5 linked regions of the Oryzias latipes genome follow. The protein of the gene in region 1 interacts with the protein of each later gene in a pairwise test. Links are inferred from orthologs where the notes say so. Each region holds a gene or a part of one and is shown in the gene's direction. Other genes may lie near its edges.

Region 1 (6,038 bases):
CACTGCTCAAAGTGATATTATTATCATATCCTTCTACAGCAGGGGTCGGGAACCTATGGCTCGCGAGCCATATATGGCTCTTTTGATGGTCACATGTGGCTCGCAGACAAATCTTTAATTATACTTTTTTTATCATTAGTCCAGTCCTTCTCGGGCGCGAAAAAAAAAAAAAAAAAAAAAAAAAAGAGGCGCGCAATAGTAGCGGTGCTTGGAGAGAAAAATCTGCGCCAGCGCTATCAGTTTACTATTATCTATAATTTCACAGAGTTTGTACCAACTGGAAACCTGTGAATTGCCGTGCCTAAAAGTGCGCGCTCCCGTCTCTGAGAAAGAGCGCGCAGTTGCGGGGACGGGATGTGTGAGGGAGAAAGCAGGGGGGTGGGGCTGAGGTGTTGTGGGGACAGGCAGCAGGTGAATCGCGCAGGGATTGTAAAAACGTAAAACCCGCTGCCCGTCAGTCACTGCGGCGTGTGAGTGTGTGTTTGGCTCCCCGTCTGCATGTGAGCAGTCTTTGTCACATCTACAGAACATTCAGACCTAAGATCACGTTTAAAGTCTCAACGCCTGCGTGAAGCAGAAACTCACCACGTATCAACCAGACTAGACCATCAGCAAAACTACCACGAGAAATACTCATCATTTATCAGCAACAGCATAACCATGTTATTAAAAAGAATCCACAGACTTATTGTACTTTAAAAATGTTGAAATTACATCAAATGCACACATTCATTTGTATATTTAGTTTTAAACATATTGTCGCGGACTGAGTTGGATGGCTGTTGGGCCGCGTTATAAGTTCTGGAGTTCATTGACCGCATCAAGCAGAGATCTGATTGGCTCTCAGTTCTGTCGCTCAGCCTGTTGTTAGGTAGTTTGGACCAATGGGGTTCAGCTATGGGCCGAATAAGGGAAATGGGAGGGCTGGAGCGGGAGCAGGTGAATATAAAGTTGGTAGAAGCGCTCTCTCTCGTCTCGTGTCGACAGGAGAGATTAAGGAGTTGCTGAATTAATTTTACGGCGTTTGTTGTGGTCTGCAGTCACCAGAATAAAGAACCTTAAAAGAGGTTAAGTCTCCGTGCCTCAGTGTGGGAAACTCTACATTATTGTATGGCTCTTTCGAAATTACATTTAAAAATATGTGGCGTTTATGGCTCTCTTGCCCAAAAAGGTTCCCGACCCCTGTTCTACAGTATATCAATATCCTTCTATAATCCATTAAAGTCCCTCTCCTATCATATTTTGATCTATTGTAAAAAAAATTCCAATGGTCTTTCAATTATGATTATGCCGTTTTTAGCAACAACAAAAAAGTGTGTTGCTTTCTAGGACATAGTTTCTGCAGAGCAGCATTCACCGCTGAGTTCTAGGCAGGACTGTTGGTGCTGAGAAAGCCTGTCCTCGTTTCCCAACATCCATTTGTTTACACTCTGTCCTGCTAGCTTACAGCCCCTCACAACCCCAACTTAACATTGGCAGTGCAACAAAAAAATGTGATCTATTTGTCTGCAATTGGATGCATCAGAACGGAACAGAGCATGGAATTTGTGCCCCCCGACTTAAGCACCTACTTCACTGCTACGTGTTTTTTAAAACTGCATTTTTTCATCTGCTCCTGCTTACAATGATTTGAACAAAGAAATACCCAGAAATGCAGTTTTGAACACCAAAAAACACAATTTCACTTGCTCTCCTCTGTGTAGCAGCAGTGCGCATGCGCGTGTGCTCACCTGAACGCGCCGAAGCACACGCTCCCGATCATATAGAAAAGAGAATAAAATATCAGCAGGCAGAGCAGGAGATTGAGCAGCACGGTCTGCAAGACAACACACGAGATGGTCATTTATTCAGTCTAAGATGTCAAGCATGTAATTTCACGTCCTGGGTGTGAGAAACCTGCCGGTTTGTAATAGAGAACATAGTGTTAAAGCAGACTGACTTCGCTTCACTAACAGCGCCTATAACACAAGTAAACCTGGCGTTATAATAAACACATAACACAACTGTGTCATATAATTTGTTAGTATCTGACATACATTATTGTCACTCGACAGACAGAATCGAAAAACATAATTTTAAGTGTTCCAGCCTCGCAGCACAGCACGGCGATGCCCTCCTCTTACCTTTGAATCGACCGCTTTGCCTTTGAATGCCATCTCATGATTTGCACTTGACGCTATACTGGAAAAATATTGCAGAAATGCAGACTGCAGCAGACGCCGCTAATCCTTCACAAACTGGACTCGGCGCGCCATCTAGCGGCAGAGAGGAGACAAGAGGCGGCGCCGCTACACGCCGCTATTATGGTCGAGCTGAACTCATTTCATTTCGTGTCAGAGCGACCTTTGTTAACAAAACAAGAGCTGTATTTTTGGTGTGCAGATTTATATTCATTTAATATAATGGCGTCTCAAAAATGTAGGTGAAATATTAGTTTGGGTAAAAATGCTGCCTACTAAATGAAAAAGAAGGTAATAGAAACGCCAAAACAATCTGGGTTAGCCGCTCAATATTTAGTACTAACACGGGATAAATAAGTCTTAGTAGTACCAGGACTTTTAAACTGAAAATATACAAACAAAACCGCACCGCGCAAATCGAGCTTTTCAAGTTAAAATCACTAAATCTGCATTCAATGATAGAAATGTTGTGATAGCGGCTTTTAAATCAAACATTCTGTTAATATCCGGGGTTAGTTTGGTGCATTACTTTGTCAGGTTCGGTACTTGTACAAACAGGAGGATGGGATGTTTAAGTCCGTTTTTATAGCCGTAGACTGCGGCCAGAAACGACAGTGTTACTAAAGAGCACCGGTGCACCGTCCCGTGATGCATTTGACTTTTTTCAAGTAGTCCTTTCGCTATTTTTGCGCACATTAGCGCATGTTAGCTCGAATACGACACGGAGACTTGGCTAATCGGAGCGCATTAGCACGGACTGTACTGCCAGAGAGTAACGTGGTTCAAATGGGCACGTAAACTGTTTGAACACAGAGGAACTAGACGCTTCTCGACGGTTAATGGAGCGCTGCGGTCCTGCGCTTTATGATACTCCTAGTTCTTGGTGACTTCATAGACTGTTCGTGTTCGGGGTGGGAAGGGGAAAGAGGAACCCCCCGTATCCTGCTGGGAGTATTATTATACTGGTACCGAACTGGGGTTTGGGCGCGTGCTTTGCGCACGCGTGCCTGCTATTGACCACTAAAAGTAAATTGAACTTTTCCGAGACCCAAAGTTGTCAGGCAGCGCATCTTGCACGCATGCGCATCGTCTATCCAGCTCTAAATAAGAGTTAAAACAGAAACGAGGTGAGTTCCACAATTTTCAAAACATTGCGGGCCTTAAATATTATTTATTGACGCGAACGTGGGCTAAATTTAGGGGGAAAACGGAGTTTAGTTTGATAAATAACATTAGTTTGCGTTATTTCCACTCTGATTCAAAACGGCGAGAATAAATCGTTTCTTTTTTCAAGTTTCTATTGAAGAAATAAATCAAGCAACAATGTTTAAGCTTATAACAGTGGCACGATCTTATTGTTTGAGTGCATTTAATATTTTGTTTGAGATCTGCGTTTCGCAAAGGCGTTTTCCCGGTGTTATTAAGTGGGAAACTTATTTATTACGGATCGTCCTTAGCTGGCTGCTTACAGTCACAATGCTAGGGCTAGCCGTGTAGCAGTTACCCGTTCATCTGAAGGGAGGAGGGGGCTAGCTAACTGTTAGCTGCAGCACTAGCTGCTGTAGCAAGCTGGGTTGACATTCCGTGACAAGGGGAAAGTGAAGAAAAATGAGCAGAGTGAATAAAAACACCATCTTGGGAATTACACGGAAAACGTCTGCATTTATTTGACGCACTACAGCTTTGCGATATTTGTTTAAACCGGTAACTTGAGTAATTAACATAGTTTGAACGTGTTGGTGGCCTCTTCCAATGCTCCGCCATTTTGTATAAGACGAATGCTAATCATCATGGGCGCTCTTAGAGACACTTTTATTTATGGCTGGAATAAAACTGAGGTTTCCGGCTTGAAGCCAAACTTGACCAACAATCCATAAGCTAGGATTGTTGTTCACTTTAACACTGGTTATTGCCGCGGCACAAACCAAAAATATCACCTTAATTCGGTGTTGAACATGCGTCAAGACTAAAACGTTTTTGCAGAATAACAGACTTCTTTAAACGTTTTTAAGTTTGGCTAGTGAGTGCAGAAAACAATGTTCTCTGTGAAATGGATGACTAAATATCCGCCTTACTTGCTCGTCACCCGGGAAACAGTCATCTTTAAGAGATACTGTTAAAACAAGGAAAAGATGAACTTGTGTGTTTAATTTAAAGTTGAGACATTTTTCGCCGGGCTTGTCAATGGTCTTGGTCACGGTTTACCCCAACGAGGTCGTTTGTGCGCGTATTTGCCCCTTAGTTTGCCGGTAAAACTGCATTATTATTGACTGTTTTTGTCTGAAATCGAAGTGCATGGTGTACCCGGCGAGCCGGCTCGCCGTCGCCATCTATTGGTGATGTTGCGTAAGGCTGTTTACAAGTGCAGAGAGGAGCTGCTTTTGGTGATTTCGGCTGTTTTCTCGTGTTAAAAACCCTGTCCAACTTTAACAACACAATAAAATGTTTCATCTTAGTCCTGCTGATCGGTTCTATGCATTTGGGTTCCATTGCACATTTCTTTCTTTTGTCACAGTGGTTTCTTGTTACAGGGTGGTCGTATCAGTGGAGTGGGGATGACTGACACTCCACCCAGTGATGGAGCCTCTCAGGGAGCTGAGTTTGACATGATGGGAGCCCTCGACTGGAAAGATGGGATAGCCACTCTGCCAGGCAGCGACATAAGGGTACAGTTCAGGTTTTTTCTGCATTCTGGTCTTTTTTTTTGTACAAAAATTGTCATCATTTTAACTCATGGTGTTTTATATAGTGAATTATCTTGATAATTTGGCCATTGAAATAATCAAAATACAATGTTATCTAGAAAATGGTCATTATATTCAATCAGCTGTTTTTTCTGTTGCTGTTTTCCCCCCTTGGTGCTTTAGTTCCGCATGACAGAGTTTGGGACTCTTGAGATTGTCACAGATCTGGAGGTCAAAGGGCAGGAGGCCGTGTCTAACAGTGAGACCTTGGACCCTGCGCCATCTCACACTCCCACCCCTCCACCAGAGGCCCAATCACAGACAGGCTCAGCTACAGCTCCAGCCAATCAGAATAAAACAGGATCAACTCAAACTAGAGGTATAAAAGCTTGTGTCAAACATTACTTTTATAAAGAACTACACTTTTCAGTTTGTAGAATACACTTTTTTTCCCTATAGTGATTTCTGGACACTGCATCCCCCTTTTATTTGCTCAGTGTTTCAGCGTTTAGTCATGTGTTTGTGTCTTTAGAGGAGGGTGGCAGCACGGAGGCCCCCAACATGGAGGTTGGTCCCAGTCCAGACGTTGGTTCCAATGCAGAAACAGGGCCTAAAGGAGAGCTGCTGAGGTGCAGGGCCTGCGGTGGTCGTGTTTCTGGAGTTGCCCTCTTTCAGGGCAAATTCTGCAGCTCTGCGTGTGCCCAGCCTTCCAGTGGCAGGTAAAAAACGCATGTATCTCCTTTTAAACAGTTTTTTATTCGGGTTTGTCATTTGGCAACACTAACTTTCTTCTTTTAAAGGTCATCTCCTGCCCAGGAACGGGAGAACCCTGCAGTTGAGGGGCTGGGGAAACGTGTGCGCAAAAAGAGGAAAATCTACATGGATTCTGGGAATGAAGAAGAGGACAACCAGGAGGAACCGGAGGTAGGAGAAAAATACACAGTAGTGTTAACTTGATGGCTTCTTACCTCACTGTTTTATTTTTAAGTTTGTAATTTCTATTTATTTGCTTTAAGTTCAAATGTTTAGTCTTTATATTTTATTTCTCACAGGAAAAGGCTAAGACCACCAAAAGTAGAAGGGGAGCCAAAATTGCAAAGCTCGGTATGTGAAATTGCTATTATTCATATAATTAAAAAAAACACACAATTAATGTTGAGTCATTGTATTTTTT
Region 2 (5,840 bases), on another chromosome or scaffold:
CAGTGGTGTTTGCAGACGATATTGTGATTTTTAGCGAGAGCAGCAAAGAGGCGGAGGAGAAGCTAGATAGATGGAGGTTTGCCCTGGAAAGGAGAGGATGGAAGGTTAGCCACAGAAAGACGGAGTACCTGTGCATAAATGAGAGGGACCCAAGAGAAAGAGTGAGGTTATAGGAAGAAGAGATAAAGAAGGAGATGGAGCATTTTAAGCATCCAGAGTCAACAGTACAGAGTAATGGACAGTGTGGAAAAGAAGTGAAGAAGCGAGTGCAGCCAGGTTGGAATGGGTGGGAAAAAGTACCAGGTGTAATGTGTGATAGTATGAGGTTCAATTGGACCAAAGACATAGACAGTGGGCACAAAAACATGTTTTTGGCACAAATGGAACCTCATATTTTTCTGGCAACGTGCGTTTGCAGGAATATCAATAAAATGTATTTAAAGAAAACGTGTTTGTCATGGTTAACGCTAGCGCCGGCTTTAATAAACCTTTTTTTTGTTTCGTTCCGTGGTAGTACAGGAAACAATTAACCGACCGTACAAAGGACTTTTCTGACGACGAAAGACAAATGCAAAGTTTTAAACATAACGCATGAACCAAAGGTCAATGAACTCGTTCAGTAGACATAGACAAGGGACCAAAGACATAGACAGTGGACACAAAAACATATTTTTGGCACAAATGGAACCTCATATGATAGAAGAGTTTCAGCTCAAATCAAAGGAAAGTGGCACTGAGGAAAAGACAGGAAAAGGGCTGGAGGTTGCAGAAATGAAGATGCTGAGGTTTTTCTTGGGAGTGAACAGGATGGATTAGATAAGGAATGAGTACATCTGAGGGACAGCACATGTTAAAGGTTTTAGAGATCAAGTCGAGAGACCTAACTGAGATGGTTTGGACCATAGTGTCCAGAAGAGAGGCAGTGAGTAAGTATATTGATGGAAGGATGATGAGTCTAGAGCTGCCAGGCAAGAGGTGGATGCAGTGAACGAAAACGTGACAGTTTTTGGTGTTAGAGTAGAGGATGCAGAAGACAGGGTTAGAGGGAGGAAGGTGATTTGCTGTGGCGACCCCTGAAGGGAAAAGTCCAAAAGGAAAGAAAATGATTAGAACATTATGCCATATGATCACGTGTCTTTGCAAAATTCAAAGGGGGGTTTCAATACATTGAAGTGAAGAAGCAATAGCTTGATGTCTTGATCCTGTTTTGGTGCCTTCCCGTGTGTTGCCTGCTGTGATGGCATTTGGTCGTTTTTATGTTATAGTAAAATAAACCTTCTGTGCCTCAATCCAAATGGTATTTCCCAATATCAATATAATCAATTTATTTCATTTTGAAAAAAGTTTATGATGGTATATTGATTCAGTTACCAAATTGCCTCAGACAGATTGATCTGGTTGGATTGTAGAAAAATAAATGGATTCATCAATTCAACTATTTACAAATACGGCCTCCTTCACTTGATTACAATTTGGCTAATGCAGGACTGAAGGGCTTCATACAACACCTAAATAAATTAATAAATAAAATACATAAACAAAACATGGATAAAGAACAAACGTGTATTAACACACGTTGAATCACAAACATGGCAACAAGAGTGTCTCTCTAACAATTAAATTAAAAAAATGTTTTTAAATGACTGGTTTTGCAGATCTTTAATATATAAAGATCTGCATATATATATATATAATATTTGTATAATTTCTTTTTAAATAATTTGTGTGTTGTCTTAAATGTTGATGGTGTGTCATTTTCTCTATTTTCCCTCACTGTTCAAATCAGAACACAGAGTATCTGAAACTATCTCGAAATTGTTCAGCTGATAACAGTTTTATACTTTGTTCTTTAAATAGTTTCCCCCTGCAGTTGTTACACGAGATATTGCTGGTAGCGTTGATTTTTCTGCTCAAATCGTTGGCTTAAAAAATAACGAAAGACATCCATGTGCAGGATCCTTTGTTTATTTTTTAGTTTGTGAGGAAGTAATCCTAAAAACAAACTTAAATTTGATAGTTCAGTAAACATCCGCTCATATAAAGGAGCATTTCTTTAATCATAAGATTTTAAGGCGGTCGGTAGTTTTGAGCAAAGTGTCAAAGTGTTTTTCTAAAAGAAAACTTTACACCCTGACGCTGATCTCATATCTAATGAAGAGTCGGCACGTTCCCCCTACAGGCTGTCTCGGCGGTCGCAGCCAGTCGGCGGAGGAGCACAGGAAGGCACGAGCTCATCTCTCGCGAGGAACGACGCCGTTATCGGAATCTCTAGAAACAACACGAGAATTCGTCATTCACACGGTAATATAAGCCCACTCTTACACCGTGCAATTGACGTGTGTGAGCAATGGTCTACGAATCCAAGTCAAAATCATCTTTCATTTTATTTTAATTTTTTACGTTTTAGCAAATACTTCGTTGCGTTTCAGCGGCCTGTAGGCCTAACTAGCATGCTAACGACTAAGCTAGCTGAAATAGCGCTCTGTTTGCGTTGCTTAGCTCTCAAATCGGATTGTGCTAACTTTAGCCATTGCCAGTACATCACTGCTCTGTGCTAATCGAAACTTGTTATAATGCACAGCTGTGATCTCATGCAGTTGTAATAAACTGTACTTTTCCTGAAAAACAATAATCAACATCTATCAGGACCTATGTTCCTTCAATTGTTTAGTTCATTAATTTAAATCTCCTCCCATTTACTGATACTGATAGCATACAGTTAAATAACTGCATCGTTACTAGCAAGGCAAAGATGAAATATATTTAGTGGAATGAAAGGTAGAAGGCTTGAACAAAGTCTGGCTTTATCATTATTAAGATAAACCACCAGTTTACAAATAGTAAGGCATTTCTGGTCGTTTTTTTTAAACTATCACATCTTAATTGCTTTGAAACAAATTCATACATTGACATGTGTATGAATGTGAAAGTATTTCTCAAAGTGCATCAACTAATGTCATAAAATTGCCAGTCTGATCTACTTTTGCCCCAATCCATATACAAAAAAAGTACATTTGATTAAATTATACATCCAAATTAGTATTTGCTAAAAGTGACGTAAACAAATCTATTTGTATTTTGATTTAATTAAAAAATTAAATGGGGAGACTTGAGTTTAACTGTTATGCCATTTAGCCACAGCTTGTAAAGAAAAATACAGCAATGCCAAGCACACATGCTTTGTTTAGAAGGTGGTCATTAGCCTTAGTGATAATTGTTTTACATAAACATAAAATTGTGTTTTAATTAAATTTTTACTTTAAAATAACCATTTATTGGAAAAACAAACAATCTTCCAATACTGTCATTTACATTGGACTTTAATTCATATACACTGTTTTAAAATTAGTTGAATCAGGAAAATAAAATACTTTTAACTACTCTCGCCTTTGCAGGCTTTTAATTATGACACAGATTTATGGTATTGGGGAAACATTTTAGATATAAAGGACTTGGGAAAACAAAACAAAACAAGAATTATAAGTATTTTGACCATAAATAATGCGTAAATAGGTTAAAAGAAACGAGTACCACAATAAAAATGTTCCTAAACGTGAAAACACTTCAGCAAATATTAACTATTGTATTTATTTATGAAATTTGGGGAAGTTTAAATGTCCACTCATTTTTTGGACTTATCATTTAAAAACAGTAATTTTTATCAAGAACCGTTTCCAAAACTATGTTTCATGACTATATGACACATGAAAAGCAGATTTTGAATTTTAGCTGCAGTTTAGTCACATGAAGCAGAAAGTGTGCCATTCTATGTTTAACTTGCTAGTGATGAACATGTAATAAATCCTCAAACTTAAATGCTTTAAAAATGTCATAGAACTCATTATAATTGCATACTCAACACATGCATTGACTTCAAAGCATTTATGTACAACTGTTGTCAAACACAATTTCATAACTGGTATTAAGCTAATAGGATTTGCTTGAAAACCAGTTAAATTTGATTTGTTTCCTCAATTATGGAGTTTGCAATATGTGTGGAAAAAGGCCCAATATTAAATGCATTGGCAATAATCTCTGCAAGTATTTGATTTGGCCCAATAAGGTAATCAAGCTTTTTTCAGGCTGTGTAGTTATTAGTCAAAAGCGCTAAGGCTCAAAATCATACAATAAAGACCTTGTCCAGTTTGGTGTGGATGCACAAAGCCACTCTTGATGCTCTGGAATGTACAGGTTTCAATCGGTGATACTTTTTCTTAAAGTTCAGTCCTACAGGAAACAAAAACAGTGGCTTACAAGGGTCGCTTCCTGTTATCCTTTCCAACAAGCCTGTTTGAAATGGTATGGTTGCCAGGAGCACACATTCCCTCTATGAAAGGAATTTTTGCAAGTTACAATTGTGGAAAGCTCTGAAGATTTCTTTAACAAAAGACAAATAATGCCCCACTTTTTGAAAAATTAAACACAAGAATTTATCGTTGTGTAAATGAGACCAGAGTCCACTTCAATGAATGTAGTCTTAAAGTTCTGTTTATTTTTTAAAGTCAAATGCAAAGATCTGTTTGTTAACTGCATTTTGTTTTAAACAGCAAAAACGGAGTCTTAAGGAAGTGAAAAAGACCCTTCTTTCCTGAAAAATGTGTCTTATTTTCTGTCTTTCCATCCATTTTCTTAACCTACTCTATCTTTTTTGGGGTCTCGGGGCTCCCGGAGCCTAAACTGGGTCATTTTGGGCAAGGGTAGGGTACACCCTGCAGGGCCACACAATTACACACACACCGAGTCGCACCTTGGGATGTGACCGATGAAGCGCGTCTATGGATGAAGGTCGATTGCCTGGAGAAAATCCACACATGCACAGGGAAAACATGCAAACTCTTCACAGAAAGGACCCAGTTTGGATTTGAACCAGAGCCTTCTCATTGAGAGGTGAAGGCAGCAACCTATTCTTTCTTGTCTTGCAAGAAAAAGTTTTTCTAGTAGCAAATGAAACTTTGTTTAAGAAAGCATGCCCAAGTGACATCTAAAGAACATTTTTGAAATTTTAAGTAGTTTTGATGAACTTTATAGTGGACTGTGGTCTGAGGCACAGCAGCGCATTTAGAATAGATTAAAGAAAAAAAGAAGTTGTTCAAGTCAGTCAATGAACGGCAGTCAATGAACTGCAGTTAAATTGCCAAACCCCGCCCCCTAATAAAAAGCAAAACTAAAAAACAAGTGGAAGTTTCTCTAAAATGACAGGGGAGGTAATGTTCATGCACACAAGTCATAAAAACATTTTCTTCTGAATGTACATTTATAACTTCTTAATAATCATTTTGGTTTTTATAAAAAAATTACCATTTTCTTCTTCATGTGTTTCTTGGTTTTAACATATATAAACATCTTGAGGTAAAAGATGACTGTTATTTTATGTCGCGTAAAGGCGCGTGGCAGCTCATTTTTCCTCCCCATGTCTCTTTTCAGTTATGAATGATGTCTGAACAAGAGTTAGATGACATCGTGCAAATAACAGTGGAGGACTTTACACACCAAGACCGCACTGGTGAGTTTTGCCAAAGGAGTTTAAAAAAATTAACCATAAGAAACATATTTTTTCTCTATCTTTTATAGACCTTTTATTTGTTGGATATCCGCACTAATAATTAATGGACATTTTCATTTAAGACTTTAAGTCCAGCTATTTTAACTACTCTTTACCTAAGGCAAGAAAATATATTCTATGTTGAGTGTGTCTTTTTTTTTTAAGTATAATTTTATATTTCAATGTGTCAGAAATGCTTGACAATCATGAGGACGACGAAGAAAGGCCACAGAAGAAAAAGAGAAAATTGAGCCAGAGCCAGGACAACAACAACAACAACAATCAAGATTTATCTTTT
Region 3 (5,950 bases), on another chromosome or scaffold:
CCAGATCTGATGATGACACCAAAACAAGCATCAACAGCGTTAAAAGTGAAAGCAGCCACATCAGGTATGAGATATTTCCTGCAAGCGTGTTCCTCTACTGTGTAAAACTACCATGTCCAGTAAAATTATGTTTAGCAGCGCTTCTGGAAAGCCAAGGACTTTGTGTGGTTTGTTCTTTACATAATTCTTTGACCTTAACTCCTTAGTAAAGGAAAGATAAGTGCTGTTGCCAAGTAAAAGTTTGACGTAATTACAATGTTGCCAATTTCTAACCCAACATGTCTGATTTAGGGAAGAAAATGCAGATGACTGGGAGAAAATTGAAGATGTGGAGAAGGAGAGCGTGAAGTCCAAAAGGGAAGAAACACCATGATCACAAAGGTCCAAGCGGGACACTGTATTTTTTTTCTATTTTGTGGCTTTTTTACAAGAAAACAACTCTGCCCTCAGAAATAATTCATGTTACAGAGGCGCCTTGATAGTAAAAAAAAAAAAAGTCCACTTCTAAAATATGAAATTACATATGATCTGTAGAATCACATATTTTTGGGATCATGGGAGAAGAAACCAGTTTATAAAATAAATAACCATGCATCTAAATACAAAACCTAGACCTATATTCCATATGTACTGTTTCAATTATATGATGATGTTCCTTCCAAGAAATCCATGACTGTAATCCAGGCTGTAATTTAGACATTGAAATCTTGGTTACGAAAATAAAAGCTCCAAAACTTTGAGGCTTAATTTTGCTTGATTGAAAAACCATTCAATAGCCATTTAAAAAGGGGAATGATTTTCAAAAAACCATCCAAAAATGCTTAGAATTTTTAAAATATAACTGTACCACTGCATGTGCTTTCATTACAAATGTCCCTCAAGAACAGCAAGCATTTCTTGGATGGTTGGGTTAAAGTTCCCTGTTATTTGTCGAGCTGCACCACCAGCTAAATAAACAGTCCTCTGTGTGCGTCTGCATTTGCTCAGGCCGCTCAGCGGTCCCCTCTGAGCCTACAGCTCCACATCAAATGCTCCTGTACCCTGGCCTCTGCTGTACTCTTGTGCTTTGACAGCTGCTTTTTTTTGCTTACAAAAAGGCAGCTGTCAGATATATATTTAAATCCACATGCTACAGAGTGATGGACTGCATCTTTGCAGAGACTTAAACAAACATCCCTTTAATGTGACTATTTAGATGAAAAGATGTATATTTTAACAATGTTTTAATGCTTAAACTTCTGCACAGGTTTCCATCACAGGTAATCGTGGAAACCCCTTTGAAACCTAAGATACCACATGGTATAGCTTCAAGGGCTCAATCCAGTGAGGTTGTCATGGGAACCCTCCATCCATCCATCCCCATTCTGCCATGTAGCCCCTCTGGAGAAAGCGATGCACCTCTGATTCCCTGATGCAGAGCTGAATAAAATACAAAATAAATAAGTAAGAAAAACATGTTGGGCTTCATCTCAAATGGAATCTGCATTTGCAAAATGCCTGAGAGACCAGAGGGAATGCATCTTATTTAAACAAACTGTATCATAAATGCCTGTGGAGGCAGGAGAAAGAAAAAAACCCACATCTCATTTAGATTAATGAGAGGCTGCACGCTTTGCCACTAAATGTTAGGATCAGGCTCTTTGAGGAGTGGCTCTGTTTACGAGATGAACAATGTAATTTTCCCAAGGTGGTATGTTAAGGTTTCTTTTTCTAACCATTACAATTCCCACACATCGAAGTTTTAGAAAATCATGGGTAAAAATGTAGGCAGCTGATGGTGCATTTGGGATTCAGCTTACATCCCACTATCCTGAAAGCAGCAATTATGCTGCCCTTTTTTTTGTTTGTTATTTAGCAGACTGTAACATAAAAGTTGCATGTAGAGTCTTAGTTCTTGATTCACCTGCAGGAGGAGCTGTGGCTCACTTAATCTCCTTGGTGGCATATAGAGAGAGATCCCGCTTTTTTCTCCTTCAGTGGCATAAATAATATCTTCAGAGAGAGAGCATATCAGAAGGCAAGCAGGAAGAGAAAAGAGAGAAAGATAGCAGCCAGCGTGACAATTGAGCGCGTGGCAGAACTTGTACCTTCCTGCACCGTGGGCTGAGGGAAAAGGAACAAGTGCACCAGAGTGGCAGGCAGCTGCCAGCAGCATAAAAACAGTCACACACAAAACAGACAGACCCCCAAGCTTCACTGCACCAGAGGAAGTTGAGGGAGAGGACTGACCTCCAGCAGGTACAGTACCACCATTTATCCTGCAATCATGGATCTCCATTTCTGTGCATATTCCGTCTGATGTGATGCTCCACAGTTTTTTTGTTTGTTTGTTTGTTTGTAGGTGGGTTAGGAGAAGTTTTATCTGTGGATTCACCCCCAATATTATGGCTTTCCTCAGACCGAGCCTTGTTGTCCTGTAGAGGAGTTGTGTGCTTTCCTTTCAGAAGAACTTGTTTTTGTGCTTGCGTCCCCGAGCAAAGATGGAGAAGCTGTCAGGGAAAGACAAGGAGCTGATACGAGGCAGCTGGGAGAGTCTGGGCAAAAACAAAGTTCCTCACGGGGTGATCATGTTCTCCAGGTGATCCAGCTCTACACATTCAGCATGTTTTCAAGGCTGTCCTTTCTCTGCACTGCGAGAATATGTTTTGTTAACCTTTAAACTGACAGAATTTTCCGTTTGTGGGTAAGAGTCTGCAATATGCAGGTGTATAGAATGTAGCTAGATTCTTGGCCGCACACTTTTACCATGCAAGGACTGAAGTCTTGAGTTGTTGCTTGGCGACAGACTGCAATAATCTACAATTTACTTTGTGACAGCTGCTGCTCAATCAGACTCCAGCAGGAGAAATATGTATATCCATGATTAATCCAGCATGAGGGTTTCATGAATGCACCAGCAGAATAATGGGATTTTGTTTGTTTTAGACTGTTTGAGCTGGACCCCGCACTTCTAAGTCTTTTCAACTATAACACAAACTGTGGCTCCACACAAGACTGCCTTTCCAGCCCAGAGTTCCTTGATCATGTTACTAAGGTGAGAAGTCTGTCCCACAAGTGCATATATAGAGGGAATGAATTAGTTAACACTATTAACTTGTATCTGGCATCACAGGTTATGCTTGTGATTGATGCGGCTGTCAACCATCTGGATGATCTCCACTCTTTGGAGGACTTTCTGCTCAACCTTGGGAGGAAGCATCAAGCAGTGGGAGTCAGCACTCAGTCGTTTGCTGTAGGGCCCACCTCTCCCAGTTCAGCTCTACTGAAGCAGTTCCATCATATGTGACTGAACTTGGGGGGAAATGATTTTGTGCTTGTCTTCACTCCGTCAGGTGGTGGGCGAGTCTCTTCTGTACATGCTCCAGTGCAGCCTGGGTCAGGCCTACACCGCAGCGCTGAGTCAAGCTTGGCTCAACATGTACAGCATCGTGGTGGCTGCAATGAGCCGAGGGTGGGCCAAGAACGGCGAGGACAAGGCCGACTGAGAGACAGCAAGAGCTGCTGAGCAGTTTGCTGTCAGATGATCAGCATGGTTGCCATGGAATGAGGTTGTGTAACTGTGCAGCATCAGCTTGGCTGCTGTACATCTGCTCTGTGACTGGGGGTTGTATAGCATAGCAAATGTGTGGTGTAGCTACACTTCTAACTGAGATGGATCTATAGCAGAGCTTGTTTGCTGTGGATGTTTAGCTACCTGGGAACGCTGTTGTACAGCTGAAAACCAGTTTGGTTCTTTTTAGGTCTAAACACATGAGAGGAAACCGTAGGAATTTTTCTCAGATCTCTGTAAATAACAGCATAGATCAATATACTGACATGATAGCAGTGACTGTAGTGGTCTTTGTGATGTATCTTGGAGTCACACACAACATATTATGTTTAGGCATCACACTACTCTAACTGTGACTGTTACTGTGGTCAACAAAGGCAGCTTTTTATCTAACTGGAACACAATGTTACTAAAAACTGTGTGGGGACAATGCAACGAGAAGGAGAAAATCACTGTTAGCATTACTTTTTATGCCTCACTTTGCATTTTTTTGGCCTTACTTTTCAACTATAATCTGAATTTTTTGCTACAATCAAGTTTATTTAGTGTTATATAATAGCTATTGACATGAACTGTTACACTCTCTTCGAGCTTTCTCCAGTAACTGTAAAGGTGTCCAAACACACCTTCATACATGTGGTGTTAAAAGCTCTCCTCACTCAAGGTTGTTAGTGTTTCAGTAGGCATTTAATGACTGTTAAATAAACACTAATGAATAGACTGTTATGTGACCCTTAGCCGGAAAGAGCATATTGGATGGATTCTGTCTTTGTTCTCTGCCAACAGTTTCCATTAATCGTCAGTGTAAAGTGGTTTTGTTGTGCAGTGGCTGTTTATCTTAAAAATGTTTATGAACTGTATTTTTGTGGCTGTTATAATCACATGTTTTAGCATAATCAGATTGGTAAACACAGAACCTTGGGTGTTTATCACAGCTACTATAACCTTGTAGATTTTATCCACAGTTGTTATTCAAAAATGGAAAATGCCAAGTAACTTTACAACAGTTTGCCAAGTATTAGATAACATTGTTGAACTGTAATTCCAAGCTGCCAATAGTTATTTTTTCTTTTAAGCTTATATTTATAAAGCTTGATTTTTTTTATTTAGATTATATTTTTTTTGTGTAGGTAAAGGGCATTGCTGTTTTCCCCAAATGTCATATCCTCATAAAAATTGATGCTTAGAAAACAAAAAATGCTTTTTATGATCAGAATACTACAGTTAAATGTGCATTTCTTATAGAAAAGAAATGCTTTTTTTTGAATGTACATCAAATTACTTTACAGAAGTCTGACTTGTCTTGTGTTCAGCCCACAGGTGTCATGTTTGTTTACTCCATGTTGTATTTACAATAATTCTTTTATGAGGCTCAGCCCTTGGAGCTATGCAGGTTTCCGTTACTTTCTGTTTTTTTAAACTCTTATTATGTAGTCCTGCTAACAGACAAGGGATTATTTTGGCATCCAGATATGTACATATTGGGTGTGTCACTGTCTACCTCATCATAATCAGCTGCTATCAAACAGTGATATGGTCACCTATTTCTCCTTCAGCCAAAAAATGGACATTACTGTAAGCTAAGCCAAGCTCTTAACCATGAATTCCACCCTGTGTTCAAAGACTGTTATGTGTTGCAGCTACTAAATAAAGTAATCTGAAGGGTATTTCACTGCTAATTGAGGTCAGTGGGCTTTCCTCCTGCACCTAATGTCAACAAATCAATCACCAAATGCTTGATTTTCTTCCAACTGACACCTCCTCTTGCAGCGTTACGTAAGATCTTTATAATGAGTGGCCGATCGCCCTCCACTGCAATGAGGCTGGCTTCAGGCATATCCACCCACTTACTCAAGCAGCTGCACAATGTCGCATCAAGAACATTTGGAGAATTTCACCAAACTGTTGACAGGGTGGGCTCCCCCTTCCACAACATGAGTGGTTAACAGACATGTCTTACATTTTGCAAATCCTGCAAATAAAGAGAGATGTAAAGAAGGAGTGATGACTTGTCTCAATTCAAATTCGTTTCTGTCATGAGCAATTTGGTTGCATCTCTGTAAAAGTCACATCCGTGAGTTGTCGTTCTGATCTGCTGCGGAAGTGGCAGCTGACCTTAATCTGTCTCCAGGCACTGTGCGCAGTATCCTTCTTCTGCTTCAGTCAAAGGGTGCATTCTCTTCAAAAACACACAAAATCGTTTTCCATTATTCTTGCCTGTGTGCTAAGAGTCAACCCTAACATTAGACAGTAGACAGATCAGTTTTAGACCTGAACTAAATGCTGATCCCCTCATGTCCTGCACTGGTGTTTCTATTCCAGACCGACAGTCTTCATCATGTTTTGAGGGTTTTCTTTGAGGACTGCCGTCTGTAAGAGAAGACAACAAATTATTTTTAG
Region 4 (5,249 bases), about 8.0 Mb from region 1:
GACAGGAATATATTTACATCTGTAAACTGCTTCATATGCTTTATTAACTATCTTCTCATAGAAACTACTACTAACTCTTTTTGACCAACAACTCAAAAAGGAAATATATTTAGTTTGTGTTGCTTTGCTTCACTGTCATGGACCAGTTTTTAAAATAATTGAATCTTGTTTTTGTAGCCAATAAAAAAATTTATGTTAAAAGATGTTTTTTCTAAAACTACCAGTTATATTTTTGATTTTTCACTGTCCAACAAACTACTCTTCAGTTTTAAAGTAGTATAGTTTATAGCTACTGTTGAATTACGTATTCTAAAAGTCCTAATGTCAACTAAGTGTGACATTAAGACCGAGTGTGACAACACCCACAGAAAATGACTATGCTGTGTTGGAGCCATCATGAGTAGTCATTGGTCCAAATCGGTCTGAATCATCGTTTCCATGGCAACCACTCTCACCAATCAGGGCTGTGCTTGTTGGATGTCCACGCCCCTACCACTTGAAAGTGAGCTGGGGAGAATCTGTCAATCAAATTTTTCAAACGTTGGACGTCCTAGTTTTATTGAGGCATCTGCTTGGTCAGTTTATAACTTTGGATAACTTGGAATAAAGAAAAATATCATGACAAAAATATCAGAATTAGCAAGAATATGTTAAAAATAAGTTGTAAAGCAACAATAGTTTTCCTGACAAATACAATATGTGAGTAATAGAAGTTTATTTCTCTATAGAACTCCGTGGGATTTTGGCTTCTTGGAGCCATAAGGTACCTCCTGTTTGGAACATGTGGGGGGAGAGGTCACTCAGTCCAGTTCTCATATAAAGTCAATGCAACTAACTCTAGGTTTTGAACTTAACTAGTCGAATCCTGGTCTGTTGGGATTTTTTTTTTCTTATCTGCTTTTAACTTAACCAGTAAAAGTCGGGTCATTTCCAAACTTGCATTCAGTAAATTCAGATCTTCTGATGAGATGTGGAGCTGCAACAAACGGGGGCAGCGATAGCCTAGAGTTAGGTTGAGAATGCAGCTTGTGGCTTGAGGGTTGCTGGTTTGATTGAACTGGCACAGTGTTGGGAGAGAACACCCCCCACCCCAGCCAAACTCCATTTGCTCCAGAGGCGCCTAAGCTCAGAGCTGCCCAATGCTGCTGGTCAAACCCGTCACAGAAATAGAACACGAGAGCTTGAATGTCCCCTGAGCAGTGCATGAAAAAATAATAATAATAGCGTTTGTCAGCGATTATGTTGACAATGTAAACTTAATGAGTGAGGCTGTCATTGTAAACCCATGAGAATCTAACCTGAAAAGGAAACCTATTTAAAAGCAAACACAGAACAGTTCTGTTCCCCATCTTCACTTCCAAAAGGATCCTGTGGCTCTCCTGTGACGGCTCAGAGAAAGTCAGAGCAATCTCTGACCTTAGAACGACACGATGACAGTGTTGTTGTCTGGTTGTTGGTATCCACAAGCTCTTGTTTTTGTTTATCTGCTGTCAAACAAAAGGATGAGCATTTTTGCCTAAAGCAAAATATGAAATCTCTTTATGACTGCTTCATTCTTTTTATTTATTATCTTGTTTATTGAGGCGAATACAAAAATGTTTGTAAAAAATCTAAACTATTTTGAATAATGTGATATAAGTTGGACCATAAACAGATCTTTTCAATCTATCAAAAATGAACTCTTATTCATTTGTGTATTTTAGGGTGAAATCTAAACGTCTGTTAGTGCTAAAGCACTTCTGAGCTCACCAGCTGCACTTGAACTGAGTCAGTGTTGAATGAAAGCTGCACTTTTAGGATTCCTTTGGATCCAGTTGAACAGTTTTACAATACTAAATCTGATTGCTGACCTGCAGTTTATCTGAACACTTCAAAGGAAGAGGCTTTGGTTGGAGCTGTCATTTGGGGTTGTGTGTAAGAGATAAAGTATAGGAATAAGAAGGGTGGAAGTAAAGTGTGGCTTTGTAATGCATATGTGCACTTTGGTTTGATGTTGCTTCAATACTCAGACATAGCGTTCGCTGTATCTGCTCTGCACTTGCCAGAAAGAATAGTTCCCCTTTCATCTTTATCATCAATAACCTTTGACCTCGCCTGTTGTACTTTATGAAAGGCAGAGAAAGACGCCAAGAGCCCAACTGCGCTGGCATCTGGGTCTCAGCGGCAAAGAAAATGTGTGTTGAGGCTTTCGTCTCTGTAGTCTTTTGAAACTGTTGTGAAAGCTTAAAAAAAGATTTAAGGATGAGCAAAAAGACTCTTCATCCTAATGTGATGAATGGAGCTCATAGAAATATGTCTACATGTCTTACTGTAGAGATGATGCTCATAAAAACAAAAACTTTTTTTTGAAAATGCTTCTGTAAAGTCAAGACTACTCGAGCATCAAGAGCACGGCCTTCTCTGTCTTTAAGTGAACATTGGTGACTGAACTCATTTTGAAATGAGAGGTTTTGAAATTTTCCCTTCTACTGGGGTTTTCCAATGGGGTTTCACGGTAGCAGTTAGCGCTCTCACCTCACAGAGAGGAGTCCCGGTTCGAATCCCGGCTAAAACCTTTCTGCGTGGAGTTTGCAGTTCTCGTCATGCATGTGTGGATTTTCTCCGGGCGCTCCGAACTTCCTCCCACTGTCCAAAAACATGCTTCAGAGATTCATTGTGCATGTGTGTGTGCGCATCTGTGAGAGTGTGTCTGCCCTGCAACAAACTGGTGACCTGTTCATGATGCATTCCTCCTCGGCTTAACAGGAGCTGGGTTGGCCCCAGTTATCGTGTGACCCGAAAACAATTCAGCAGGTTCTAAAAATGGATGGATGGGTTTTTAAATTCTGAAAATCCATGTCTGGTATTTAGACTTTTTTTTTTTGAATTTGTTAAACACCAAAATCTCCTATTTTTGAGTCATTAGACTATATTCCTGAAAAGTGTTAGACTTTAGGCTGTCTAATTCATGTTTGTTTCATGTTTTTACTCAAATGGTTTTTAGCTTTAATAAATTCTGCAAAAGTTTGTCTTTATGCGAGTTCAGAATTGTTGATGTTGCTGAGAGTTTATTTCTTATAAATAATTAATCTAAAATAATTTTGATTTTATCCCAAAAAATAGTCTTGTTAATTAGTTATCAGGTGAGCTGCGTTCAGCAGATTCTGCTGTCTGATCTGGTTAGTCACAGAGGGCAGCATTCCAAATCTGTGCTTTAAAAAACAAGAACTGAAAAATGACAAGGAGGGTTTGTAAGAAGAAGCAAAAAGAACAAGTCAAAAGCTGAAGCTCTTGTGCTGTTTTGCTCTTGAACATGAACATTAAAAAACGTCTCTATTCACTGAGCTGTTGCTTTGGACGTTAATTTGTTTTTATCGTTGTTTTCTTGCAGGAGAGGTGAAGATGGTGGACCGGCTTGCTAACAGCGAGGCCAACTCCAAGCGGATAGGAATGGTGGAGAGCTGCTTTGGAGCTGCAGGCCAGCCTCTCGCCATTCCGGGCCGCGTCCTGATCGGAGAGGGCGTCCTCACCAAACTCTGCCGCAAGAAGCCAAAGGCGCGTCAGTTTTTCCTCTTCAACGACATCCTGGTCTACGGCAACATTGTCATCCAGAAGAAGAAGTACAACAAGCAGCACATCATCCCTCTGGAGAGCGTCACCATCGACACGGTGCCGGATGAGGGCGACCTGCGCAACGGCTGGCTCATCAAGACGCCTACCAAGTCGTTTGCCGTCTATGCCGCCACCGCCACAGAGAAGTGCGAGTGGATGAACCACATCGGGAAGTGTGTGAAGGACCTGCTGCAGAAGAGCGGCAAATCCCCGACGGGCGAGCACGCCGCCGTGTGGGTGCCCGACTCGGAGGCGTCCGTGTGCATGCGCTGCCTGAAAGTGAAGTTCACGGCCGTCAACCGCCGCCACCACTGCAGGAAATGCGGCTACGTGGTGTGCAACCCCTGCTCGGAGAAGAAGTACCTCCTTCCCAGCCAGTCGTCCAAACCCGTCCGCGTCTGTGAATTCTGCTACGCCCAGCTGACGTCGGGAAGCCTGGCGCCGTGCTCAGACTCCAACAGCTGGTCGGAGTCGAGGTACAACAACAACCACTTGTCGGATGATGAGGACGAAGACGACAGCAGTGACTGAGAAATGCCCGATTCTGCTGCTTCCTCTGCTTTTTCAGCTTTATGCAAAAAGACTCTTGACATTCTCCTTCTTCACTTCCCTCCCTAATGGAGTCATGATCATCATGTAAAGACTTAACCACAGCAGAATGATTCATTCGTTTCCCTTTGAAGTATTATTTTTCCTTCAATCCAGCTGGATTGAAAGTTTCCTACAAACCAGCAAAAAGTGGAATTAACTGGATAACCACCAAAAATGGTCATCTCCTCTAATTCTTTTTGCTCTTCTAATGGCTTTGCATTTAGGCACTACAGAAACCAGAGGTGTTGGTGAGACCTCCCTCTGCGCAGTCCTCCGTACGAATGCATTTTTTTATGCTTCTCAATGTTTTCTGTCCATCGACTGACAGAAATCTGTCTGCAGGGAAAAGAAAATGTTTGAGCTCTTCCCTTTTGTTGTCCTTCACAAACCAGCCAGGGCTTTACTGTAACAGATTCATGCGTTTTTGCTCTATTTTTGTACATCTATTTTCTGTAAAATGACAAAAGAAATCCCTTTATTACACTAAATGCAGCAATATTTTAGTTGGCGTAGTTGCTCCTGACAGCTAAAGCTCGGTGCTCGACGTTTGTTCTCAGCAGCCGACCCAAAGCCCTAACTGGAGCCGTGGCCTTTACTGTCACGCATGGCCTTGTAGAAAACTGCACTCCTCAGGCGGGAAAAGGTAATGAAAGGTAAATGAAAGCAGGCGTCAAAAAAACAGGGACTTCATGATAGGTCCACTCTGAAACTTATTACCCTGGATGGGGCTGCTGTTCGGTGTGTGCGTCAGCAGGAAATAGAGGAGCGGGGAGTGTGACTGACCCCCCGCTGAGGCCACAAAGGGAAAGTTAAGTTTGTTTGCGGAAACACTTTTAAAACACTTTAACCAGCTCTTCGTCTTTAAAAGGGTAGATTTAGCTGCTAATTTTTTCGAAATTTGTGAGGATTTAGCTGATTTCTTTTTTTTTTTTTTTTTTCAAAATAAGAGCGCAGAAGTGGGAATTGGGTGCTTTGTGAGGCCAGTTCAGCTGAAAATGGGATTACAAATATTCTTCTTATTTTTCTTTGTACTGAATGCATTTTTAGCTTCATTTGAAAGTCAACAT
Region 5 (5,991 bases), on another chromosome or scaffold:
CAGACTGGTGGGGGTGCTGCAAGTTTGTATGACAATGTGCAGCTTGTGTTTTGGTCGTTTGAAGCTTCACTATAGAGTAAGTAGTAGATAAAAGAAAACAGTGAACTGAAACAGGTTTATCAGCTGGTTCATGAGTTCCCACCTTTTTTTTAACCTACTACTTGGTGGAATTTAACTCGATAAATGAGAATATCTATACAGTAAGCTGATTGTGTGATGGTTTGACAGTGGGTGACCACTGACTGTATAAGAGAACTGGACAGAGTGTGACGTCACCCATAGAAAATGGCTTACTTCTAGCTCAAACCAAATGAAGTCAATTCAGTCGCTTATTTTTATTTTTACCATATACACGCTGCCATGTTGGAGCCAGACATCAGTATGCAGTGAGTCATTTTATCTACTGAACCACGCTTACCAATCAGAAGTGAGCTTGTTAGAAGACTACACCCCTGCCACTTGAAAGCAGACTCAGGAGAATCTGTCAAACGCTTCAAACATTAAACGTGTGACGACATACTTTTATTGAAGCATCTGATTGGTAAGTTTATAAATTGAATAACCTTTTCTACAGAAAAATATAATGAAAATAGGATTAGAAAGAAGAAAGAAGATGTTAATAAAGGAATCAGAGCAAGAATGGTTATTCTTCAAGTATGATGACTGAAGAATAGTTGTCTATTTCTCTATAAAAGTCGATGGGATTTTAGCGTCTTGGAAGTGACGGATACTTCCTGTTTGAATGCGACATTCGTCACTCAGTCCAGTTTTCATACAGTCAATGTGGGTGACACAAAATAGCTTGATCTTCAAACCTACCAGTAAAACCTAAGAATTTTTGCTTTCTGGAAGAAAATCTTGGTGAACCTCTATGTTTAAAACCAGCAGGACATTAGGGGTAGTGACAGTAATAGGAAGTGAGACCCAACAGTTAAACAATTGGTTTCTTCTAATAAAATATTTTCGTCAGCCTCTGCGGTTATGAGAGACCACATAAATGGAGAAGAAACAAACAAAGCTTAAAAAGAAAGCTTGTTATTGTTCCATCTGTGCTTCACTGGGTTGAAACCTGGTCTTAGTTCATCTGAAACATAAAGTCTGGACCTGTTCTTGAAGGGTTGAACGTTAGTCAAAGCTGATGTCCGAGGTCTGATGTTTGGCTCTACCTGCTCTCTGATGGATGTGTCTGTCTAGTTAAACAAGGAAAACAATTGTCAATATTGTAAATATGCATCTTGAAGAAAAGTAAAAATGAAACTTACAATAAAACCAAAACAAAGAACTGTCTTGATTTGCTGTCATTATTTTGTTTTATATGTCATGTTACAACATCATTATCAAATATATAAAAGAAATTCTTGAGTGAGTACTAAAAGTTGAAGTATGCTGAAACACTAAAGGAAATGAAAAGACTAAAATACTTTATATAATACATTTTTAAAAATAACTTTGAAATGACATAGAACACAAAAAAAGTGGAAGAAAACTGTAGTAAATTATTAAATATTGACTGCAAAAATGGACAAAATACCTGAAAAAAAGGTAAAATTCTCTAAATTCGACTAAATACACTATAGTGTTATTCCTATTTTCGTATTTTTTAACCTATACAAGGTTAAAAAAAACAAGAAAATTGTCTTAAAAGGGTTAAATAATGACAACAAACTAAAAAGTTCCTGGTACCAATTATTTTATCACTTACTCAAGACAAGTACCATACAAAAAATAAAAACAGGGAAAGGGCCTCTTATTTAATGAACAATTAATAGTTTATAATATGCATAGCTAAAACTTTCCTGAAGTTTTTATTTGTTTCTAAGGAGCATCAGTTTTTTCTCCAAAATATTTAAAAAAAAAAAAGAAAAGGAAAGAAAAGCAAACAACATATAGAAATCCTAATGGTTTTGAAACTAAAATAGAGATAGCTGAAAATGTGCAAAATTATAATTTATAGCCAGAAAGGACCCACAAGCGAATTCACTGTAAATACGGGTCGTGTCTCATTCGCCAAACGTTCAGTTGTATTGCTTCAAAATAAAATAATTTTCAGTACGTCTTTTATTATGAAGAAGTGCATCCTGAAGCGTCACTTCCGGTCTTGTGTAAACAGGCAAGATGGCAGCATACCGTGCGGTCCTGGCCGTCCTCCGCCGGACTCAGAGTGGGATTTTTGGTTCGGCGGGACTCAGGTGAGTTCGTGTCCTTTAACCCACCCTAACTGAGTGGAGAATTCCGTCAGTGGGAGCCGTCAGCCGCTCTCAGAGTCTGCTCGATAGCTGCGGCTTTCTCTGCCGCGCGCCTTAAACTTGAGGACGTGGTGCGTTCAGGTGTCCTCTGATTTGACAGCGTCAGCTCAAACAGGTTTTACCGGCATTTCTTTCACTATTATATCATTAAAAACACTCCCAGTTTAAATTAGATCAGGGGACAAATTAATAAGAATACATATTGTTGCTGTATTACACTGGATTAAGAGTGAGAAGAGGTGCATAAACCAGCTGATGATAATGATAACCAGATCCCTGAAGACTGTCATGTGACCAAAGCAAAACATAAAATCTGAAATGGGAAAAAAATCTGTATTAAAATGTAGATAAATAAACGTATTATTACCTCAGATCAGTTTGTACAGACACAATACATACAGATTACTACAGATATTACAACAGATCAGGCATGTTTCAAAGCTAAATATGGGTGCATGAATATCTGATGTCAGATGTTGATGACCATAATCATTCTAAAATTAGGCTTATGAGACAGATCTTTAATTCTGTCATCTACTGTTAATCAGACAATCAGGACAGCTCTGCCTGCTTTTGTCATGCATAGATATTTTTCTCTTCTCCAGGCGGCGCTCCATTGCTGTTCAGAGCTTCTCTGTGACATCACAACCTGAGGCAGGAGCCAGCTCCAGATGCTTGATAGCGCAGAGCAGACATGGACACTTCAGGAGAAACGTCCAGACAGGAGCAGGAGTTCTGTGGGCAGCAGTCGGTGAGTTCGGTCAGACTAAAGTCTCAAAAACTGCACGTGTATTTCTTCTTTGTGCTGACTGTGTGTGCACACGCACAGCCTTCTCCCTGTTCAGCAGCTCTGAGGAAAACAAACGGGATGAAGCTCAGAAGAAGGAGGATGAGATGATCTTGTTGTTGAAGAAAGCAAAGGTACCATAAGCCGGGCTGAAACAGAAGCAGGAACTCCTGCATGTTGCACGTGCACAGTGCACAGTGCACGGTGCAGAGACGGAGAGTCACCTGTAGAGGAACAGGTTTACGATGGAGCGGCTGTGGCATTGTTACAGTAATGTTGTAGTGTTTTGTTGCAGCGAAGTAAAGATATTTTTACTGTTTGTACTCGTACACAGCTCAGCATCCACCGTGGTCAGATGCAGGCCGCCTCCTCCTTTCTGCACCAGGCTGTCGCTCTGGCTCATCAGACCCACAACACACAGGCCATCATCTACACCTATAGCCAGGTGAGCTCTCACCTGTCCAGGCAGGAGCTGTCATGCAGCTTAACAATGCAGTCTACCACCACATTATTGGTTTACGTGACTCAGATTTGTTTTGCTTTTCAGATGGCCAATCTTGCCTACGTTCAGGGTCAGCTGGAGAATGTGAGTATTGGCTCATTGCAGCATAGTCACAACCGTTTGTGGAAGTGGTTAAACTGTAACATGTTTGTCATTTTTATCAGATACATTCCTTCACTTTATGTGAAGCTGGGTTTGTCTTTTAGGAGTAACTCTTATTCCTGCACATCATTATCTCTTTTTAGATATCCTGCAGCTCTCAGCTGTCAGCTGACATCTTCATCTGTGCTCCTCTTCCTCTCAGGCAGAGAAACTCTTCAAAGCCGCCATGAGCTTCATGCTGTCAGGAGGAACTCCAGAGGTGAGTCGTGCCGGCGCCTCATTTGTATTTGAACGGAACAGCTGCAGTCTCACAGCTGACTCTGCCTCCAGGACGACAACGCCGTCATCGAGATGTCTCTGAAACTGGCCACCATCTATGCTGAGAGGAACAAGTGAGAGGCGGGCCAACTGATTTATCTGGGTGGAAGTTCAGAGTTTTCTGACCTGAGTTTGTCGTTTTTTGAGGGCTGAGCTTGCTGAACATGGTTTCAAGTTCTGCACAGAATCTCTGGAGGCTAAACTGGAGAAACACAAAGAGCTTCCAGCAGAAAAGCAGACAGGTGAGATACTGACAGGTGACAATTCAGTGTTAGAAATAAGGGACAACCTGGCAAGTAAACTTGGTTGTCCTCCCCAATTTTTGGTTGTCCTTCGATACCAATATTCAACAGCAACGAAACCTACTCAGATGTCAGTACTTACATCTTTATTTCTTCTATACATCTAATATCAACTGCCTCTTATGATGGACATTTAAAAAACTCTTTAAATATTAAAAACAAACATTTGACTAAATATTGAAGCATCTGGTTACACAAAGTATTGCCAAAAAATTGAAAACAAAATCCTTTTGTGTGTTTTTGGAGACCTCTAGCGGTCGCACCAGGTATTGTTCAACACGTATTTGAAAACCGGTAATCTTTATTGAAAAGTACAGATGTAGAAACAAAGGATTCGCTTGCATGCATGCACTTCGTTTGTCAGTGGAAAGAATTTGCTGCATAGGTCTCAATTCAGAGTTTGCCAAATAATAACCATTGAAACTTGAAAAATAGTCGAAAAATACCAAAATGTTGAACAAAAGATCAGGTTGTCACATGGACAACCATCAGGTTCATTTGGTTGTCCTCCGTGAAATCTGGTTGTCTCGGACAACCGGATAACCGCTTATGTCAAACGCTGAAATTAGGTCAGGAAAGTTCTGGTAAGCCAGATTGTTTTTTAGCAAGTTCTGACCCAAGCCTTTTCAAAGGAAGAACAATATCGTTATTCAATTCAATTCAGACTAAACTAAACTAGATCCCCCTTCATTATCATGAGGTCTGTTTATTTTAGCAATAACCCACTACCTAAAAACAATGACTGCAATTTTACTCAAAAGACAACTTTGTCTCCAGTTTTTATTCAGGTGAAGCTGTGAGGTCTTTTTTTTGCCTCTTAGTCTGTTTTGGGGCATCACATATGATCACATCTCCCCTTTTTTAGCCTCACTACACTGGCTTCCTATTCATATTAGAATTCATTTTAAGATTCTTTTATTTGTTTTAAAATCCTTTCATGGTTTGCCGCCTCGTTATCTCAATGGGCTCCTGCAGCCTTAAGCCCCCTCCTAGGTCTGCACAACAAATCGCAAATGTATTGTTATCACGATATCAAGCTGTGCAATACGCACATCAGAAAAGACGGGGAAAATTGCAATAAATGGTTACCTTTAATGTGCTAAAACAATCATATGGAAACTTGAAGTATTTAACGTATAAAAAAAATCCTTTTGACTAATTGGATGGACGACTTCTATGCTAGATGCCCGCCTCCTATGTAGACGAGGGTCATTTAGAGTGTAATTTAAGTTATGTTATTATTTCAATAAAACTGTTGCAATTAAATGGAAATGATGGATTTGGTTGTTTTACTATTTTTTCATGTAATATTATTTCATCATAATAATATTTATTATTTATAATAATAATATTAATCATCATTAATATCGCAAATTGCGAGTTTTCCTAATATTGGCCTACCCCTTCTCAATCCTCTTAGATCAGCTGCTTCTAGAATGACTGAAAGCAAAAGTCAAACTCATAGAGGACCAAGGTTTTTGCAGCTCCAACACTCTGGAACAATTCATGTTAGACAGACAACATAACTGCCTGTTTTAAGTGCTCTCTAAAAAGCCACTTTTTAAACTTGGCTTTTAATACACAGTACAGAGGTTATCCCTCTTTCTTTTATCTCACCACGTTTTAATGAATTCTCTTTCATGAACTGTTAGTGATGAGTTTTATTTTAACAGTGTAACCTTAGAAGCTTTTCTTTAAATCTGTTTTATTCAATCCTTTTGTTCGTTTTTATCT

What was found.
Region 2: the proteins of l3mbtl3 (region 1) and banp interact in binary tests that used the Homo sapiens proteins (3 or more experiments, as listed by UniProt). The two-hybrid records come from large-scale screens. The link is inferred for Oryzias latipes from reciprocal best matches to the Homo sapiens genes L3MBTL3 and BANP.
Region 3: the proteins of l3mbtl3 (region 1) and ngb interact in binary tests that used the Homo sapiens proteins (3 or more experiments, as listed by UniProt). The two-hybrid records come from large-scale screens. The link is inferred for Oryzias latipes from reciprocal best matches to the Homo sapiens genes L3MBTL3 and NGB.
Region 4: the proteins of l3mbtl3 (region 1) and plekhf2 interact in binary tests that used the Homo sapiens proteins (3 or more experiments, as listed by UniProt). The two-hybrid records come from large-scale screens. The link is inferred for Oryzias latipes from reciprocal best matches to the Homo sapiens genes L3MBTL3 and PLEKHF2.
Region 5: the proteins of l3mbtl3 (region 1) and ttc19 interact in binary tests that used the Homo sapiens proteins (3 or more experiments, as listed by UniProt). The two-hybrid records come from large-scale screens. The link is inferred for Oryzias latipes from reciprocal best matches to the Homo sapiens genes L3MBTL3 and TTC19.

What each region holds. Positions count from the first base shown.
Region 1 is NC_019874.2:17,835,278-17,841,315, forward strand, and holds the start of l3mbtl3 (lethal(3)malignant brain tumor-like protein 3), read left to right. Parts: upstream 1-2,655; 5' UTR 2,656-3,307; intron 3,308-4,711; 5' UTR 4,712-4,735; coding exon 4,736-4,846; intron 4,847-5,047; coding exon 5,048-5,243; intron 5,244-5,396; coding exon 5,397-5,583; intron 5,584-5,664; coding exon 5,665-5,788; intron 5,789-5,916; coding exon 5,917-5,968; intron 5,969-6,038. Other genes in the region: transmembrane protein 244, read right to left, coding at 1,731-1,816, 2,124-2,156. UniProt on the Homo sapiens protein: Is a negative regulator of Notch target genes expression, required for RBPJ-mediated transcriptional repression. It recruits KDM1A to Notch-responsive elements and promotes KDM1A-mediated H3K4me demethylation.
Region 2 is NC_019864.2:22,009,357-22,015,196, reverse strand, and holds the start of banp (protein BANP), read left to right. Parts: upstream 1-1,820; 5' UTR 1,821-2,301; intron 2,302-5,424; 5' UTR 5,425-5,430; coding exon 5,431-5,503; intron 5,504-5,733; coding exon 5,734-5,840. UniProt on the Homo sapiens protein: Controls V(D)J recombination during T-cell development by repressing T-cell receptor (TCR) beta enhancer function. Binds to scaffold/matrix attachment region beta (S/MARbeta), an ATC-rich DNA sequence located upstream of the TCR beta enhancer.
Region 3 is NC_019880.2:13,052,660-13,058,609, reverse strand, and holds ngb (neuroglobin), read left to right. Parts: upstream 1-1,919; 5' UTR 1,920-2,238; intron 2,239-2,341; exon of another isoform or gene 2,342-2,444; 5' UTR 2,445-2,480; coding exon 2,481-2,578; intron 2,579-2,925; coding exon 2,926-3,034; intron 3,035-3,112; coding exon 3,113-3,232; intron 3,233-3,332; coding exon 3,333-3,485; 3' UTR 3,486-5,551; downstream 5,552-5,950. Other genes in the region: protein FAM161B, read left to right, coding at 1-64, 292-373. UniProt on the Homo sapiens protein: Monomeric globin with a bis-histidyl six-coordinate heme-iron atom through which it can bind dioxygen, carbon monoxide and nitric oxide.
Region 4 is NC_019874.2:25,821,394-25,826,642, forward strand, and holds part of plekhf2 (pleckstrin homology domain-containing family F member 2), read left to right. Parts: intron 1-3,370; 5' UTR 3,371-3,381; coding exon 3,382-4,122; 3' UTR 4,123-5,249. UniProt on the Homo sapiens protein: May play a role in early endosome fusion upstream of RAB5, hence regulating receptor trafficking and fluid-phase transport. Enhances cellular sensitivity to TNF-induced apoptosis.
Region 5 is NC_019875.2:10,840,843-10,846,833, reverse strand, and holds the start of ttc19 (tetratricopeptide repeat protein 19, mitochondrial), read left to right. Parts: upstream 1-2,078; 5' UTR 2,079-2,115; coding exon 2,116-2,189; intron 2,190-2,851; coding exon 2,852-2,997; intron 2,998-3,075; coding exon 3,076-3,167; intron 3,168-3,367; coding exon 3,368-3,478; intron 3,479-3,580; coding exon 3,581-3,619; intron 3,620-3,839; coding exon 3,840-3,896; intron 3,897-3,967; coding exon 3,968-4,029; intron 4,030-4,102; coding exon 4,103-4,197; intron 4,198-5,991. UniProt on the Homo sapiens protein: Required for the preservation of the structural and functional integrity of mitochondrial respiratory complex III by allowing the physiological turnover of the Rieske protein UQCRFS1.